Canis lupus familiaris: one gene and its partner. Each later gene encodes a partner of the first gene's protein in a complex. Links are inferred from orthologs where the notes say so. Each region holds a gene or a part of one and is shown on either strand. Other genes may lie near its edges.

Region 1 (4,508 bases):
TGGTTGGCCACGGGGCAGTTTCCGGACCATGCTATGGTGCCAACCCCCAATGATTGCCTGGCTGGGCTTCTCAGAACCCGTTCAATCAGGAGAGTGGGGAGGATCTCTAAAATATTTTAGTCAATCTTTAAAACATTTCTCTCAAGAGAGCTTATTTTAATGTGAATCACAGGTATCCTAGTGTGATCCTACATTTCTATGATGCTCAGCAGATGACAAACCTTGCCAATCTAAAAAGGGTTGAGGTTTCTTTTTTCTTTTCTTTCTTTCTTTCTTTCTTTCTTTCTTTCTTTTTTTTTTTTTTTTTTTTTGCGGGTAGGTGGGTGGGTGGGAGAACTTGAGGTTTAGTCTATGTGCTCAAGCCTTGGTTCAAAATCTGGCTCTGACAATTACCAGCCGAGTGACCTTGGCTATGACCTCACTTCCCCGTGCCTTCGTTTCCTTATCCGTAAGTGGAGATTAATAGGAGTGCCTACTTTCCAAAGTCGTGCCAATTAAAGGAGATAGTAAGCACATATAAGATGCATGACCCTCTGAACCAGCTCCTTGTGAGTATTTGAGTTTGCAGACCCCTGCACGAGGGTTTCCGACCATCCCTCCTTTGAGACAAGGGATTCTTGTTTTATAAGCCTTTTACTTTGGATGGGGCCATGACTTATCTCCTGATTTTGTGCCATCTTATCCCTGCCCAACCTTAGACGGACTCCTCCACTCACGAGAGGTATACTTAAGAATGAAATCTTGTGTGGCCTTCCCTTGTTCCTGCCCAGAGGTCCTGGAAAGCTGAACAGATGGGGCAAAGTGAGTTTGTCCGGGACTGTGCCCATAGCATCCCCTCAGTGGCTGCCCCTCCCTTGCCTCCTCCTCTGGCTGCTGGTCTCACAGAGAGCTGGTCCCCGAAGATTGAAGTGTGTCTGAGGTTCCCAGAGCCTACGGGCTTTTCTTTCCACCAGCAACCAGTCCATCCATCCCTTAGCTCACTCCATCATTTAGTGATCACCTACTATCTGGTAAGCAGAGGCAGGTGCTTGGAAAGGAAGGAAAGCAAACCACAGAACTGTAGCGAGATTCATCCCTGTGACTTGGAGCAAGACATTTGCCTTGTTAGGCCTCCGTTTCCCCGCAGATTTAATCACCTGACTTAATGACTTTTGTCTGGACTTTCTTTCTCCTGCGACTTTGTCCTCCACCCTCTAAAACTTCCCAGGCCATCTGCAAACGGCGGCGGTCTGCCAACCTCGCATGAATCCTGGAGAAAGCCCCTTAACTGTGTCTGTAAACCATAAAAGTTTCCAGAGAGGGGGTCAAAGTGTGGAGGTGTAAAGGAGGATGGCCATGAGGGGGGGGGAAGAGAGGAGTGAGGTCTGGTCTGCGTGGGGGCTGGGAGGGCAGGAGGGGGAGGGTGGGGGCCAGACCCGCCTGCCTGCGGGGAGGGCTTGCCAGATGCTCAGAACATCCTGCGAAATCTCACACCCTCCTTGCCCCCCACCCGTCCTGGCTCCAGCTCGGGCTCCATTTCAATCTGCATAATTCGCCCCATTTCTAGTGGATGGGAGGGGGTGAGAATGGGAGGGTGAGGAGGTCTGTGGAGGGGCTGCTCCAAAGGCCAGAGGAAAGCAGAGCCCGAGGCTGAGGCTGGGAAGAAGGTGGGTGGCAGCCAGAGGGTGGAGGCGGGGCCGGGAGGAGGGCAGGCTGCAAGCCCCAGATAATATTCTGCCCAGGGCAGCAGGGCTCCATTCGGTCCACTTGCCCAGGGAGGAGAAGGAGGGAAAAAAAAAAAAAGAAAGTGGGCTGTAACTTAAAGATCTTAAGACTCCCAAGTGAGGGGTTGGTCTGGAGGTGGGAGGAGGGAGTGACCAGACACGGAGGAGACAGAGACTCAGGAGGGCGCAGGGAAGCGGCTTGGCTGAGGCCGGGACTGGGGACTCGGGGACTCGGCAGGAGAGGGTGGGGGGACGGCTGGGCCCCAGGCAGCTCCTCGGCGGCTCCCTGGGGGGGCTCTGGACACCCTCGGCCCTTCCCGCCTGGGGCCCCCGCCCGGCCTCTGTCCGCTGCCGGCATGGAGGAGGCTGGCGATTTCGACAACTACTACGGCGCCGACAACCAGTCCGAGTGCGAGTACGCGGACTGGAAGTCGTCGGGCGCCCTCATCCCCGCCATCTACATGCTGGTCTTCCTCCTGGGCACCACGGGCAACGGCCTGGTGCTCTGGACCGTGTTCCGCAGCGGCCGCGAGAAGAGGCGCTCAGCAGACATCTTCATCGCCAGCCTGGCCGTGGCCGACCTGACCTTCGTGGTGACCCTGCCGCTCTGGGCCACCTACACGTACCGGGGCTATGACTGGCCCTTCGGCACCTTCGCCTGCAAGCTCAGCAGCTACGTGATCTTCGTCAACATGTACGCCAGCGTCTTCTGCCTCACCGGGCTCAGCTTCGACCGCTACCTGGCCATCGTGAGGCCCGTGGCCAACGCTCGCCTGAGGCTGCGGGTCAGCGGGGCCGTGGCCACGGCGGTGCTGTGGGTGCTCGCCGCCCTGCTGGCCCTGCCGGTCATGGTGTTCCGCTCCACCGGGGACCTGGAGAACAGCACCAAGGTGCAGTGCTACATGGACTACTCCATGGTGGCCGCCGCCAGCTCCGAGTGGGCCTGGGAGGTGGGCCTGGGGGTGTCGTCCACCGCCGTGGGCTTCGTGGTGCCCTTCACCGTCATGCTCACCTGCTACTTCTTCATCGCCCAAACCATCGCCGGCCACTTCCGCAAGGAGCGCATCGAGGGCCTGCGGAAGCGGCGGCGGCTGCTCAGCATCATCGTGGTGCTGGTGGTGACCTTCGCGCTCTGCTGGATGCCCTACCACCTGGTGAAGACGCTCTACATGCTGGGCGGCCTGCTGCACTGGCCCTGCGACCTGGACATCTTCCTCATGAACGTCTTCCCCTACTGCACCTGCATCAGCTACGTCAACAGCTGCCTCAACCCCTTCCTCTACGCCTTCTTCGACCCGCGCTTCCGCCAGGCCTGCGCGTCCATGCTCTGCTGCGGCCGGAGCAGGTGCGGCGCGGCCTCCCACAGCAGCAGCGGGGAGAAGTCGGCCAGCTACTCCTCCGGCCACAGCCAGGGGCCCTGGCCCCAACTCGGGGAAGGGTGCAGAGCAGATGCACGAGAAGTCCATCCCCTACAGCCAAGAGACCCTCGTGGTTGACTAGGGCTGGGGCCTGCCCGGCCTTCCCCTGCTCTCTGAAAGTCAGGTAGCATGACAGCACCTTCTCCCTCTCACTCCACCCTTTCCCCTGCTCCCTGCCCCCCTGCCCCCTCTTGTCTTCCTTCCTTCTTGAGGCTTGTTCAGAGGTTTGTGGTTGAGTGGGAGGACACTGAGCCCTGCAGGCTCCTGCTCGGCCACTCGGTATCCGTGAGACGGACCTTGCACGAGTGTCTTGACCCCTCTGGGCCTCCGTTTCCCCATTTGTATATAAAACAAGGGAAGTTGTGCTGGCTCAACTGAACTGGGTTGCCCCCACTCCTTTTCTTGGATCTCCAGCTTTTCCTTTTCCCTCCTTTCTTCCTAATGCCCTGTCCCTTCTCCCTGCCCCTACTTTCTCCTCTGTCTGCACTTTCCAGCCCGAATTGTCACCTGCTGGCTCCAACCCGGTCTCCGGGGCACACCTCCTCTTTAATCCCTCCTTCTTCCCCTATTCACCTCCCTGGTTCTGCAGGGCTTCCAAGGGTTAAGAATCCTGAAGCTTGCACACACTCTCTGGCTCCCCGAGAGTGAAGGAGGGACCGGGGCTGGTGTCAGCAAAGTTAGTTCCAGGCTCTGCAGCTGGGAGCTCCAGAACTTTCTTGCAAACCGGACCATTTCACTGTAGTTTCGGGCACTAAGGATCCCAGAAGGGGGCCTCGCTTCCTGCAGCCCCTCCTTCATGCCAACTAGATGTGCTTTTTTTGCAGATTTCCTCTCATTCAACCTCTATTCCCCATGGCAATCGGAAGTCCACGGGGTTGGTGATGGGACTGCCGGCTCCTAGGTGTCATTCTATGAGTGGGGAGTCGGGAAGGCAACGTCGAGGAAGAAGGGAGTCCGTATTTAGTCTATATGCTGCTTGGCTTCCCTTTCCAATTCCTCACCCCTCCGACCTTCTCCAGAACTGGGACCTGTAGGTCTCCCCACCACAGCCTGGCATCTCCAGGCAGGACACTTTTCTTGAGCACTGGTGTTGCTGGGTGCCAAGAGTTATGTGTGTGCGTGTGTGTGTGCTTGTGTGTGTACACAGATGAGTATAACAGGAAGAGCAGTGTGCCTGTGTCACTCGTCACTTGGGTGAACTACCCCCCTACTCTCTACTCTTTACTCTCTACCACTTCTCCACTCTGCACGCAGCATCCTTGGGGAAAGAGGGACATAGTGAGGCAATATAGAACAAAAATGAATTCACCCCTTCCCCCACTGGATTTGGGGGCTCTGACGGCTGGTCCGTGCTTTAAGAGAGATGTTCCTGTTAGGGCTGGGACCC
Region 2 (3,801 bases), on another chromosome or scaffold:
GAAAATCTTGCTTCCTCCACAATACACTATGTCCCAACTTGGAATGTCCCCCTCTCCCTTCACTGAACACACTCAAACTCCTCCACTGCCTCCTGACCTGGGATACACCTTGCTCTTCCGAGTCGGAGAGCTGCTGGGCCAGGGCCAAGTGTCCCTTGGTCTTTGTCTGAGCACCTCTCTCCCCTTCCTGCCCCCCTCTCTCCCCTTCCTTTTCCTCCACCTTCTCCCCACCTCCTCAGCCATAGCTCCAAGCCTGCAGTCACAGTGCTAGTGTGAAGACAGCCTACTGTACCTCACCCTCTCAGGGAGGGGGCATCTCTCCTCCATCCCCAGTCCCTAAGTGCTAAGCACTCCTGTAACCTGAGTCAGGCCTCTGGGGCAAAAGACTAATGCATGTGAAGTGAATGGCCAGGCTGCCAGAATGTGGTGTGTCCAAGGGCAGCAGAGCTGGCATGGGAAGATAGCTCCGGCCAAGGGGGAGACAGCGGTGCTAAGCGGACCAAGGACGGGTGCCTCAGTTGGAGAGAGCTGCCATATCATACATAGAACAGTGGAGGGGGCATAGTCAGCGGGGTCGCTGCCACAGCACCCATGTGGGCTTTGAAAGCAGTCACAAGATAGACTGGACGGCAAGAGGAGAAACAGGTGCGTCATTCCTGGTGAGGCTGGCATGTTCCTGGAAAGTCACACACACCTCTTTGTGCATGGGCAGGCGGGGTTGGGAGTTTACACTGCACAACCATCAAACCCTGTCCACCCCTGGCTGTGGTGCTCCGTGGAGAGCTGCTGAGGCTTCCTTCAGGCTTCCTTCTGATGGTGCTTCAGAGAGCAGGGGCTCCAGGCCCTTTGGGCTTCAGATTCTTCCAGGGAGTTGCCCCAGCCTCCCTCTAAGTAGCAAATGAGTTAGAAGAGAATATTGAAGCATACTGAGAATGGCCCCTGTTTCTAGAGGGGAGATTCTTTGGGGCAGCCAGGACCTTTGCAGTGATGAGAATCAACAGCCTCTAAGTTGGACAGGATAAAGCCTGGGTTTCAGGTGTCAGCTTATCTCAGGGTGAACCAGACTCAGAATCCAAAGTAGGAGGAAACAGGTGGGTGATGGGATCATGGTGTGGGAGGAGCTACAGACTTCAGGCTACAAAGAAGACAGTGAGCCCCCCACCCGATGGGATGCAACGTGCCAGGGGCTTTCTGGGTGGCTGCTTTCTGGGGGTTGGCTGATTGTTCAGGAAGCTCAGGGGGGTTTTCTACAGGCTTGAAGTCTAGATGTCTCCCTGGCCAGAGTCTGAGCCACTCTCCCTGTTCTCCATCCTGGTTCTCGGCCTTCCCCCACTTAAGGCCTTTCAACCCTAGCCTTCCCTCCCTTACTGCCAGCAACACTCACAGTCCTAAGTACTGAATATTTTGAGGTAATGTCCTCCCCTACCCTCTTCTCCATGCCCACTCTACCCGTGGGGCTGTGCCTGTGCCATCGGCCCACCCTCACTCACCCCCAGTAGTAGAGGGCATGAACTGAAGAACCCAAGGCCCCTAGGGTCCTTCCCTGTGCCTGGCCACACCCTCAGCACAGTCCTTCCCACCCTGAGTATGACTCCTCATCAGCATCATTCCTATCCCCCTCAGTTGTCAGGGAGAGCCTTGAGGGGACCCCAAAACACAAGGCAGAAGCTGTAGCACCTGAGTTTGGGAGTGGGGTGGGGAGGCACTTAGTGAAGGCCCTTCCCTCCTCTCTCCTTCCCCAGTCCAGCCCTTTTGCAAATGGCTTTATGACAGACAGAAGTGGCCTCCTGCCCTACCTCCCCAAAGTGCGAATATAATTTGTGTTTTCATTGTCTCATTTGCGGTGATGGGTTTTAATTCTTATTAGGGGATGAGCTGACACATTAACCTACCCCAACCAGAAGCACGGAAGTGTGGCTGGCAAGCAGTGGGATCCTAATGGGCCTGTGACTTTTCTTGGGGAAGGTGGGTGGAGGACTAGAGTGTGCGCATGTGCGCAGTGGGCTTGCGTGTCTGAGAGAGCAGCAGGCCCTGGGAGCCTGGGTGGGGAGGGCCCAAAGGACAAGCCTCGCCTGCTTTTGGCCCAAGAGGAGGATAAATGCCTGGAAATTGTGTGCAAACGGAGGAGGAATCACTAGAGCCAAGGAGCCAACAGAGGAACCAGAGCATGGGGATGCTGGAGACAGGAGGAGGGAAAGGAAGAGCAGCCAGGGGCATGACTGGGGGGCTAGCAGCCAACGGGTGGTTATATGGAAACTGTGAGCTAGTTGTGGGGATGCCTGGATGGATGGAAATGGGGCTTTAGGGGCAGGGATACAGCTGAAGGCGAATCCGGTGGTGTGGGAGGAGAGAGACTGGGATTTGCGATCACTGACCTCAGAAGCCATATTTCTGCAGGCCAGCCCTGGACTTGGCATTGCACAAGTTCCCTGCAAGTCCACCTTCTGCCCAACACCATCTCATCTGCCTGTTCTTCCTGCTTCCAGAGGCCAGGCATGTTTCTGAAGTGCAAGCCCACCTTCCGTGGCTGTCCTGCAGCCTTTATGAGAGCCTCCCTCACTACACTCAAGAGCATCCAGCACCACTTGGATTCTCTTGTCAGGCCTTGGCCTGGCATTTGGAGGCTTCTACTCTAAGCCAGATGTGGACAGATGTAGAGCAGAGTCCCAGAGAGTAGAAGAGAACTGGAATTTAAATGGAAGGAATTTACATCAGACACAGGGTAGAAGTGTGATCTGGGGATGAAAGGAGACAGGCATTCGGTGGGGAAGTGCCAGTAACAGTAGCCTACACCCCTCCTGATGCACAGACTTGCTGCTTCAAGTGGCCGTCCACTCACTGGGTCACTCATTCATTCTGATAATATTTATTGGCCTCTAAATCTGGTCACAGGCTGAATAGAACCCAGCTTAAGGCTCACAGAACCAGAGATGACTCCCCACCCCAGCCATACCCACAGGGAGATGACAGGGAACAAGGGAGCCTTAGTGAGGCTGAAACACTGATGAGGTGCCCAGGGGTGAGGTAGGAGATCTCAAAGTGGGTCACCTGCCTATTGAAGGATGTCAGAGCACAATGACATGGTGTTCTGGATTTGCTGTAAAATACTTCCACTAAGAAAAAAGAGAAAAGGGATAACTAATGCATATGTGACTCCATCTGGATAGCTGTTGAACCCGGGTGATGGGTATGTGGTGGTAGGGGATTCATTTCATTGTATGCGTGAAATGTTTGAAGTGCATCTGTGATAAGGGTGCCATGGGGAGTTCTTGCTTGCTGTGCCCTAACCAAGTACAGACATATGCTCCAGATTGTACCCCCCCAATGATGTTCTAAATGAAGAACACGTTTGTCCCTGCCAGAAACGTGGTAGAACTGCCAAAAGGACATAAAGTCAGCTCCATAAATTACGAGATATGAGTAGTAGGTTTGGCCCAGGCCAGTGTAAAAATTGCAAACTGTTCACCAAGATGGAAGATAAAACCAAAGGGAAGCTTCAATGAGTACTACCTCGTGGAGACGTTGCCCCTACCGTGAGCCCGCAGCCCTCTGTCCATTCGCATCAGCCTCCCTAGCTAACAGGCTTTCCTCTTCCTGCAGGGCCGCTGCTGCAGCCTTCTGACGGCAAGGCGCTGGAGGAAGGCAATATCCGCCACCTGGTGCAGCCCAGAGGCTCGAGAAACGGACCGGGGCCCTGGCAGGGCGGTCGGAAGAAATTTCGCCGTCAGCGGCCACGCCTCTCCCATAAGGGCCCCATGCCTTTCTGAAGCAGGTACTTGAGCCTCTCTCTAGTCAGTGGGC

The links.
Region 2: the proteins of APLNR (region 1) and APLN are in contact, whole or in part, in a cryo-EM structure (PDB 8XZG), measured with the Homo sapiens proteins. The link is inferred for Canis lupus familiaris from reciprocal best matches to the Homo sapiens genes APLNR and APLN. Residues at the interface, in NP_005152.1 of Homo sapiens: Tyr35, Phe78, Trp85, Tyr88, Thr89, Tyr93, Ser106, Ile109, Phe110, Met113, Pro163, Val164, Arg168, Gln180, Cys181, Tyr182, Met183, Tyr185, Glu194, Glu198, Leu201, Gly202, Ser205, Tyr264, Lys268, Tyr271, Ser275, Cys281, Asp284, Leu285; in NP_059109.3 of Homo sapiens: Arg66, Pro67, Arg68, Leu69, Ser70, His71, Lys72, Gly73, Pro74, Met75, Pro76, Phe77.

What each region holds. Positions count from the first base shown.
Region 1 is NC_049239.1:39,344,435-39,348,942, forward strand, and holds the start of APLNR (apelin receptor), read left to right. Parts: upstream 1-1,639; 5' UTR 1,640-2,059; coding exon 2,060-3,199; 3' UTR 3,200-4,508. UniProt on the Homo sapiens protein: G protein-coupled receptor for peptide hormones apelin (APLN) and apelin receptor early endogenous ligand (APELA/ELA), that plays a role in the regulation of normal cardiovascular function and fluid homeostasis.
Region 2 is NC_049260.1:101,760,309-101,764,109, reverse strand, and holds part of APLN (apelin), read left to right. Parts: intron 1-3,600; coding exon 3,601-3,767; 3' UTR 3,768-3,772; intron 3,773-3,801. UniProt on the Homo sapiens protein: Peptide hormone that functions as endogenous ligand for the G-protein-coupled apelin receptor (APLNR/APJ), that plays a role in cadiovascular homeostasis. Functions as a balanced agonist activating both G(i) protein pathway and beta-arrestin pathway of APLNR.